Cricetulus griseus: one gene and its partner. The protein of the gene in region 1 purifies or fractionates together with the protein of each later gene. This does not show direct contact. Links are inferred from orthologs where the notes say so. Each region holds a gene or a part of one and is shown on either strand. Other genes may lie near its edges.

Region 1 (3,811 bases):
CACCCGCTTAAGTAAATTAACTATTTGGTACTTGTAAATTACACTTATTATAATTCAGAGTCAAACGTCTACCCCTGTGTCTGTTTCTCTGAATTTAGCCGGTGAGAGCACAGCAGTGGGAGCACATGCAGTTCCACAGTAGGGTAACAAAGACAGTAAGAAAGTTGCCAGTGCCTCCAAGAATGTGACCTTGCCCTGTCAGGGAAGGGTTATGCAGGGTCAGACAGTTTTAAGGATGTGTGCAGACCTCTATGGTCTGCCTCCATGGGAATCCCTGCCCCGCATGCATAGCCCCTGACAATACAGTTGTGTTGCTGCTGAGATCACCTGCTTTCCAATTCACCGCCCCTTCATCCATCTGTTCACACACTCATTCGTTCATCACAGCATTATCTATCCATGTAGCATCTTGTTCAGGGCCAACAGGAGCTCTGATGCCTCATGGGCTTCAGAGGAAGGAAATTCTCAGACACCATCATGGCTGATGTAGGTTTGGCAACACTTTCGTATTTCATTTCCTTGGTCTGACAGTTTCAAAGACACTGCTTCTGTACTCAAGGATGCCACTGGATTCCACCCTCGAGATGGAAGCCACAGGCTCTACTGCAAGTGTCAGACAAGTGATCTTCAGAGGGGAATGTCAGCAGAGGGTAACTTCTCACCTGGAGCTGGTCTGCAGAGGAGAAGGGATGGTCCAAGGTCCATCTGCCCTGGGTGAGAAGGAACTTACCTTAGAGAAGGGAAGCCCCTGAAAACACACACTGGGGAACAAGCAGAGGGCTCTGCAAAAAACAAGAAAGCATTCTCTGACTCCTAACGTCACTTATTTCTTTCAAAATCAGGAGCAGACTATGATCCCATACCTACTGTACCCCCATCTCCTGGTCCCAAGAGTAGCAGCAGCATGGACCGAAGCCCTAAGATGGAAATAGAGCCATTTACAGGATAAGTCAAAAGGCATTTTATGGCTAAGTGCTTTCACATACCTATAATCCCACATTTAGAAGGCTGAGGAAAGAGACCACACACTCAAGACCATCTGGGGCTAAAGAGTGAGACTCTGTCTAAAAACAAGTATGTGGAGGCCTTAAGAATGACACCCTGCCTAGTGCTGGCATTGGTCCATGGACTCTGCCCTCAGGAACCATTCCTATCAGTTCCAAAAAGCCAGTCAAGAAAGCAATGACTGTCTGAACCCCTGTTCACATGCTGGTCTTCTGCCCACATTTTTTCACCTAAATTCTTGGTCCCCTCTGGACACAGAATCCAGGACTCTCACCTTTTCTCAGCTCAGGAACAGGAGGACTTATTGAAGGGCAGGCAGCCCTGTACTAACCCCACTGAAATAGAGCTACTGATTTTCCATGGCCACCACAACACAGTGGCCATAAGCTACTGTGGAAATGTTCTCTACAGAGTAGCCAGAGGCATTGGGTAGCAAACACAAGAGGATGCTGACAAGTGGGAAGATGGTTTTCTTTTTTTGTTTTCTTCAGAATATCTCCAGCCAAAAGTAGCATGGGAAAGAAGAATGGAAGAGGTTGCAGTAAGCAGAGGGGGACATGTCCAGGAGGCCAAGGCCTTTTCTCCTCATTGAAAACCACTTTCATCACAGCTAACAGTGTGTGAGGTGGAGGAGACTACTCAGGATATTTATAGTCTTAATAGCATTTGCCTTTTAGTCATGAACCAGATCAGCCAGTCTTCAGTCACCAAACTTAGAGAACAGTCTCTTAAGGGTGAAAATAGAAGCTGACGTTGTGATGTTGCTTTAGTGGGCAGCATAGGGAAGGGCCATCCTTCAGATCTCATCATCCTTCAAGGCTTCATTCTCCATAGTCTGGTCCTCCCGGGTGTCCTCTGTAACCCTGCTGATCAAAGCTCACCCGGCCTCCCAAGTGATGCCAATCCAATGTCTCACTGTTTCTCTTTGGCTCTTCTCTCGTGTTTAGGAAGATCCCTCCTGCGGCAGATAGTCCCATGCCCTCGCCAGCAGCCCACATCACCACCCCTGTTCCAGCATCCGTTTTGCAGCCTTTCAGCAACCCCAGTGCTGTGTATCTTCCTTCAGCTCCCATCAGCTCGAGACTCACGTCTTCTTACATAATGACATCAGCCATGCTCTCAGACGCAGCTTTTGTGGCATCGCCGGACCCACGTGTCCTCATGTCCCACACCACAGCTTTCCCCCATGTGGCTGCAACCCTCAGCATCATGGACTCAACCTTCAAGGCCCCCTCTGCTGTGTCCCCAATACCAGCTGTCATTCCTTCCTCATCCCACAAGCCATCCAAAACCAAAACCAGCAAATCCTCAAAAGTCAAAGACCCGTCAGCTCATAGCGACGAATCTCCAAGTAACAAAAAGAGGAAGCCGCAGTCTTCGACTTCCTCCTCCTTATCCTTTCAGGCTTCCTTTTCGTCTCCATTGTCAGGGCCCCACAAAAAGAACTGCGTTCTGAATGCCAGTTCCTCCTTGAACTCCTATCAGGCATCCCCTCCCTATAACAGTCTGTCTGTGCACAACTCAAATAATGGGGTGAGCCCACACAGTGCCAAGCTGGAGCCCTCAGGACGGACCTCGCTACCCAGCAGCCCCATGGACATAGTGAGACAGGTGGGCGCTGTGGGTGGCGGCAGCGGCTCCTGTCCCCTCTCCGTGCCCTCCCTTGCACTCCATGCAGGGGACCTCTCTTTGGCCTCACACAATGCTGTGTGTTCTCTGCCCCTCTCTTTTGACAAATCAGAAGGAAAAAAGCGTAAGAGCTCAAGTCCCAGTAGCAAAGCCTGTAAAATCACTAAAATGCCTGGTATGAATAGTGTCCACAAAAAGAACCCGCCCAGCCTTCTTGCACCGGTGCCCGATCCCGTTAACAGCACCTCCTCTCGGCAGGTAAGGGAACTCCTGGTACTGCCTTCATCGGCTCTCGGGGGTAGGGGGAGCTGCAGGTAACACAAGCATGGCTCTATTTCCTGAGAGTTGTTGGTAAGACCCTCACTTTGCTGGTCCCTATGCTAAGTACTTTACAGTAATCACTTCCTTTAGTCCTCACAAGAACCCAGCACAGGGGGCACAAAGCAGTCATCAGGATACAGATGGGACACAGAGAGGCTGTTAGTTCCTCCGTTCCTTTTGTCTGCCCTGAGGACTACTTCATTAAAGAGTTTTGTTGCTAAGAAGTTTGATCTGATCTGTTGGAGCTCCTTCAGGATGAGCCTGAGACCCAGGCTGGTTAAGTGATATCAGGTCCCACCTGGAGAGTGACAGCCTGAGCATCTTGCCACCAGGTGATTGTCCTCACCTCATCAAGCTGCCTCAATCCCCTCCCTTCCTATAGCAAAACTGCCCCTTGCCCCCATAGCAAAGGAAGGACTCAGTGCCAGGTCACCTGCGTGAGTGTGCACTGTAATGGAGCTGGGACATGCTGACAGCCAAAGGGTAGCTGTATCTTTCCTGGGAGTTGGTTTCCAATCCCCAAATCCAGGCTGTCTCCTCAGCCTGCGAGAGCTACTGATTACAGCCCTCTACTACTCTGGGCCCACCAGATGGAAGCTCAGAGCTGGAAGGAAGGACCCCAGTTTCCTCACCCTTTTCTGAGTGGGCTTTGAGAGCCGCCCTTCTGGAAGGTAGCCCAGGTTTATCACCAGAGAACTAACAGATCAGACCCTAAGGCCAGCGCCCCCCCCCAAGAGGTGGGGACTCTGGAGAGATAGAAGGTGCATTAATGTAGAGCCTCTACCTTCCTGATGCCGCTACCCTTTGATGCAGTTCCTCATATTGTGGTGACCCCCCAACTATAAATTATTTTTGT
Region 2 (4,305 bases), on another chromosome or scaffold:
TCAACTGCAGTTGCTCCTGGGAACCATGACATCAAAATGCTGTCTATTTCCATAGGACATCCCCCCCCACCTCCACCACCACCATAAAAGCAGTCCTCGGAATGCCTGCGGGTAATTTCTCTCTGTTGTTTTGCCTGCTAGCCGCTAATACTGCAGTGCATTTGATGATCCCTCTACTTCTGCCTTTTTCTGTCTTGGTGAATTATTTCACTGCTCCACATCATGGGTACCTGTCACCAGAGTGTGACACCTAGCTGCTATAATTTTTTAGGAATAATGGTGTGCGTGTGTGTGTGGGGGGGAGGTAATTATTCAGTAGATACAATTTGTAGGGAGGGAAGACTGAGTTGATTGACTGCTCATTTGTGTAACCCCAGATAGGAGGGCTGAATGCATTATAGGTCTGTGCTGTCCCTATTTAATAGGACCTAGTGTGTCTAATGTGGCTAGTACAAATTGAATATGCTGTACCCAAAGTGTAAAATACGAGATTCCAAGGCCAATGCAAAATTTTTAGGACATTTCACTAACAATTTTACAATATCACCCGTTGACATGATATTGTCTTTGTTGGACTACTTGTTAAAATTAATTTTACCTGCTTCTTGTTGCTTTGTGGCCACTAAAAAATAATCGTATGCCGGCTGGCATTCTAGTTCAACAGGAAAGCACTGGATTAGACCCTAGGGAAGGGATCCTTAGTCTGTGTTCTCGCCGCGCCCAACCCCTGCTGTTGCACTGCGGTACCCAACACAGTCGCCAAGATGGCAGTCTGCAGAGAGCCTGCACAAGAAACTCAAGTGACCATCAGACAGAACCTAGAAAACCGTCTAGAAGAGAAAGAGCAGAAGCAGGCCCCGCCCCACCCCGTCCGGCGCCCCGCCTCTTTGCGGCAGAGCTCAGGCCGGTGCAAACCGGTTCAGTGGCCTGATGGGCACTCGGTTTTACCCAATCCTTAGCACGCCCCGCCTTCCAAGTGGAGACTCGAAACGTCCGGTAGCTGGCGTCTCGGAAGGAGGCTCCAAAGCAAACCGGACCAGACCTCCAGCCTATGATAACCGCCGATCGTGGCTCAGACTGGCAGACAACCAATGGCGTGACGCGAGGGCGGGATTCCTTTGGCCACCCCCTCTCGCCCCCCGGCGTCTCGCGGGAGCCAGAGGGCTAGAGTGAGGCTGTGGGGCGGGGCCTAGGGCGGTGGAGCCTGCGCACTGTGGCCGCCGGCCTGGGTGACGTTATCCTCTCCCGTGGACAGCCCCGCCCCGCCCCGCCCTCCTCGAAGCTGGAGACTGGTGCGTGAGGAGCGGTCGGTGCCGCAGTCGTCCGCCTCGGTTCTCGGCGCGGTCTTTGTCCGCCGCTTTGTTCTCGCCGCGCTGGCGTCGTCTTCGCCTCCGTCGCCGCCCGCCCCGCGCGCCCGGGCCTTGCCCGCCATGGTCTCTCGGCCCGAGCCTGAGGTCGAGGCCATGGATGCTGAACTGACTGTGGCGCCGCCGGGCTGCTCGCACCTGGGCAGCTTCAAGGTGGACAACTGGAAGCAAAACCTGCGCGCCATCTACCAGTGCTTCGTGTGGAGCGGAACGGCCGAGGCCCGCAAGCGCAAGGTGAGCCCTAGGCCTGCCCCTCTCTCCTGCCTGGAACGGGGGGAGGGTGTGTGTGGCGGGGGTGGGGGGACGGGAGGGAGCCTGTCGGTGCGGGGTGGGGTGAGGGTGAGGGTGAGGGTGAGGGGAAGGCTCGAGGTTCAGGGAGGGAACGAGGGGAGGGAGCGGGGAGAAGCCTCGCGGTGCGGGGAGGGGCAGAGGAAGGGGCGAGGCTTTGCCTCGCTGTGCGGGGAGGGGGCAAGGGACTTCCTGGAGCTGTGGGATGGTGGCCGGAGGAAGCCTCTAGGTGCCCGGAGGTGGGGTCTGAGGTGGAAGACTCCGCCTTGACGATCGGCCCAGAGTAGTCCCTGTCTGTGAAGGTCGCCGTGCGGGGTCGCGGTCTGCAAGGTGGTTCTGTGGGTAGCGGCAGCTGCTGAGACCCGCAGCAGACAGAAGAGGCTGGCAGGGCCTCTACGTACTCTAGTTGGGAAGCGAGATTTTAGGTTGTAGGAGACTATTGACATCCGCAGCCATCGAGGTAGTGGCTGTTTTGTTGTTTACTGGTTTTGTAAATCTCAGCAATTATGATTATATTACTAGAGATTTGGAAATCGGAAAATGTTCTTCTTTAATCTTAGACTTCAGTGTTAACAATTTGGTTTTGAAGGTGGAAACTGGAGTGGGGAGTAATAGTTGTTTCCGTCTTGAGTAGCGTTTCTTAACCGGAAAACTGGCAAATCCGCTGGTTGTATGTCATGTTAAGCATTAAATTATTTTTTTTAATCAACATGGTGGAAGACACCACAATGATACCTTTTAGGGTGACTAAAGGCTTATGTTCAGTAACAGATAGCCTGTTAGGATCAGATATTTTTGTTAATAGAAGTGTATGCCCTTTAACAAGAAATACTAAGACTTGGGTTGTTTTGTCTTTTGAGGTGACAGTCTATGTAGCCTAGGCTGGCCTTAACCACTCAGTCTGTCTCAGCTTTGTGAGGACCGGGATTATAGAGGTGACTGTCAGATTGACACCAGGGTTCCACGGTCTTAATTTCGTCACGGATGCATTCTATTCCTTCCTGGATTGAGATGTGTTGTAAACTCATTTTTTACATCAGAGTAAATGGGGGCCCCCTCCCCTTTCTGTACCTTTTAATCCCTTCCATCTCCCCCTGTTCTAGTTCCGCATAGCATCACAGAAGGAAATGAAAAGTTTCCTTTTTAATTAGGACTGCTTAGCTCGGTATTTAAATTTCCACTGAGCTAGAAGTTCTTTATTAAATGATCTTCACAACCCAGAATTCAGACACCAGTGCAACACTCACAAGTCATGTGAAGTAGGAAATGAAGGCAGGTAGTGCTTGTGAAGGGACCTGAGCTTTAGCTTGTCTACAGAACAACCCTCTCCTGAAGTTCCCTCTAGCTCAGAATGTTTTCATTTCACAAGCCAGTTATTCCTCTAAAAACATTTGGCTACACATAATGGTGCAGAAGAAGGAATGCAAATACCTGCAAAAGTATAGCTCTTCAGCCATCAGAGCAATGGTGACCCCCAAGAAAAATGACAGCAAATATGATATGGGGGAAAGGGGAGCCCTGATATACACTGCTGGTGGGGGTGTAATCTGCTACAGGCTATGTAAACAATGGAGATGTCTCAAATAACTAGAAATAGACTACCTTGTCACTGAGCCACACCACTCCTAAGTGTAGACTCAGAGGACTCTAAACACAGAACAGTAATGCAGAAAGGGAACTTTGTGAGGGAGGAAGAAACCCAAAAAGTTGGGGGGTGAAGAGGGGTAGTATTGGAGGTGAGTTTAAACAAGGTACAGTGATAAATATATATTAAGATGTCATAATGAAACCACTACATGACAGTTAAAAAATGAAGAGAAAAGCATCATATGTGTCTCAAGTTGTTTGCAGCCTTTGGGGTGTGGCTTAGGAGAGACAACACCTTACTGTGAATGTTGTGATGAAGGCTCCCTTCAAGGCCTATTCATTCCAAGTTCATTCCAGTTCCCACCATCCACAAAGCAAGTTTTGGGTACTGGCTGATGGGGCAGGCTGACCCTAGGCCTCCTGCTGCCAGCTCAGGAGCCACATTCCTCTCAAGAGGCCAGCTGTGCTGCTCCACAGGTACCCCATCAGCACCCTGTGCACCTCACTGTGCCTCTCCCTGGCTGGATCATTGCTGATGCCTAAATTGGATTTTTAAAAATCTGAGCCTTGTGGATGACTGGAAATTCATTTTCAAACTTAGCAGTTTTGGTAGGATGGAAACTAAGGTAATAGCTGACAAGATAGATGTGTCTTCCGTGCAAGTGGCAAACCTGCAGTTCTGCCTTAGTCTCACTGTGCACATCTGTGTACAGTAGAGTCACTAGGTGGAGAGAGGCAGGCCTTCCCAGAGGACTTTCTCTTGCTCTCAGATTCCCACGGAGACTCTCCTTATTTCCTGTGTTGGAATCATACCCCTTATAAGACACAGGTTTAGCCGGGTGTTGGTGGCACACGCCTTTAATCCCAGCCCTTGGGAGGCAGAGGCAGGCAGATCTCTGAGTTCCAGGCCAGCCTGGTCTACAGAGCTAGTTTCAGGACAGCCTCCAAAACAATACACAGAAACCCCGTCTGGAAAAAACAACAAACAAACAAACAAACAAACAGTCACAGGTTTATTCCACAGTTTAAACTCTGTTTACTCATTTCTGACCCCCCCCCCATG

The links.
Region 2: the proteins of Atxn7l1 (region 1) and ubiquitin carboxyl-terminal hydrolase 22 purify together in Homo sapiens (affinity purification with mass spectrometry; 3 studies listed by BioGRID and IntAct, with this or other methods). This does not show direct contact. The link is inferred for Cricetulus griseus from reciprocal best matches to the Homo sapiens genes ATXN7L1 and USP22.

Annotation. Positions count from the first base shown.
Region 1 is NC_048598.1:170,988,883-170,992,693, forward strand, and holds part of Atxn7l1 (ataxin-7-like protein 1), read left to right. Parts: intron 1-1,952; coding exon 1,953-2,892; exon of another isoform or gene 2,893-3,811.
Region 2 is NC_048600.1:75,162,319-75,166,623, reverse strand, and holds the start of ubiquitin carboxyl-terminal hydrolase 22, read left to right. Parts: upstream 1-1,263; 5' UTR 1,264-1,430; coding exon 1,431-1,601; intron 1,602-4,305. UniProt on the Homo sapiens protein: Deubiquitinase that plays a role in several cellular processes including transcriptional regulation, cell cycle progression or innate immunity.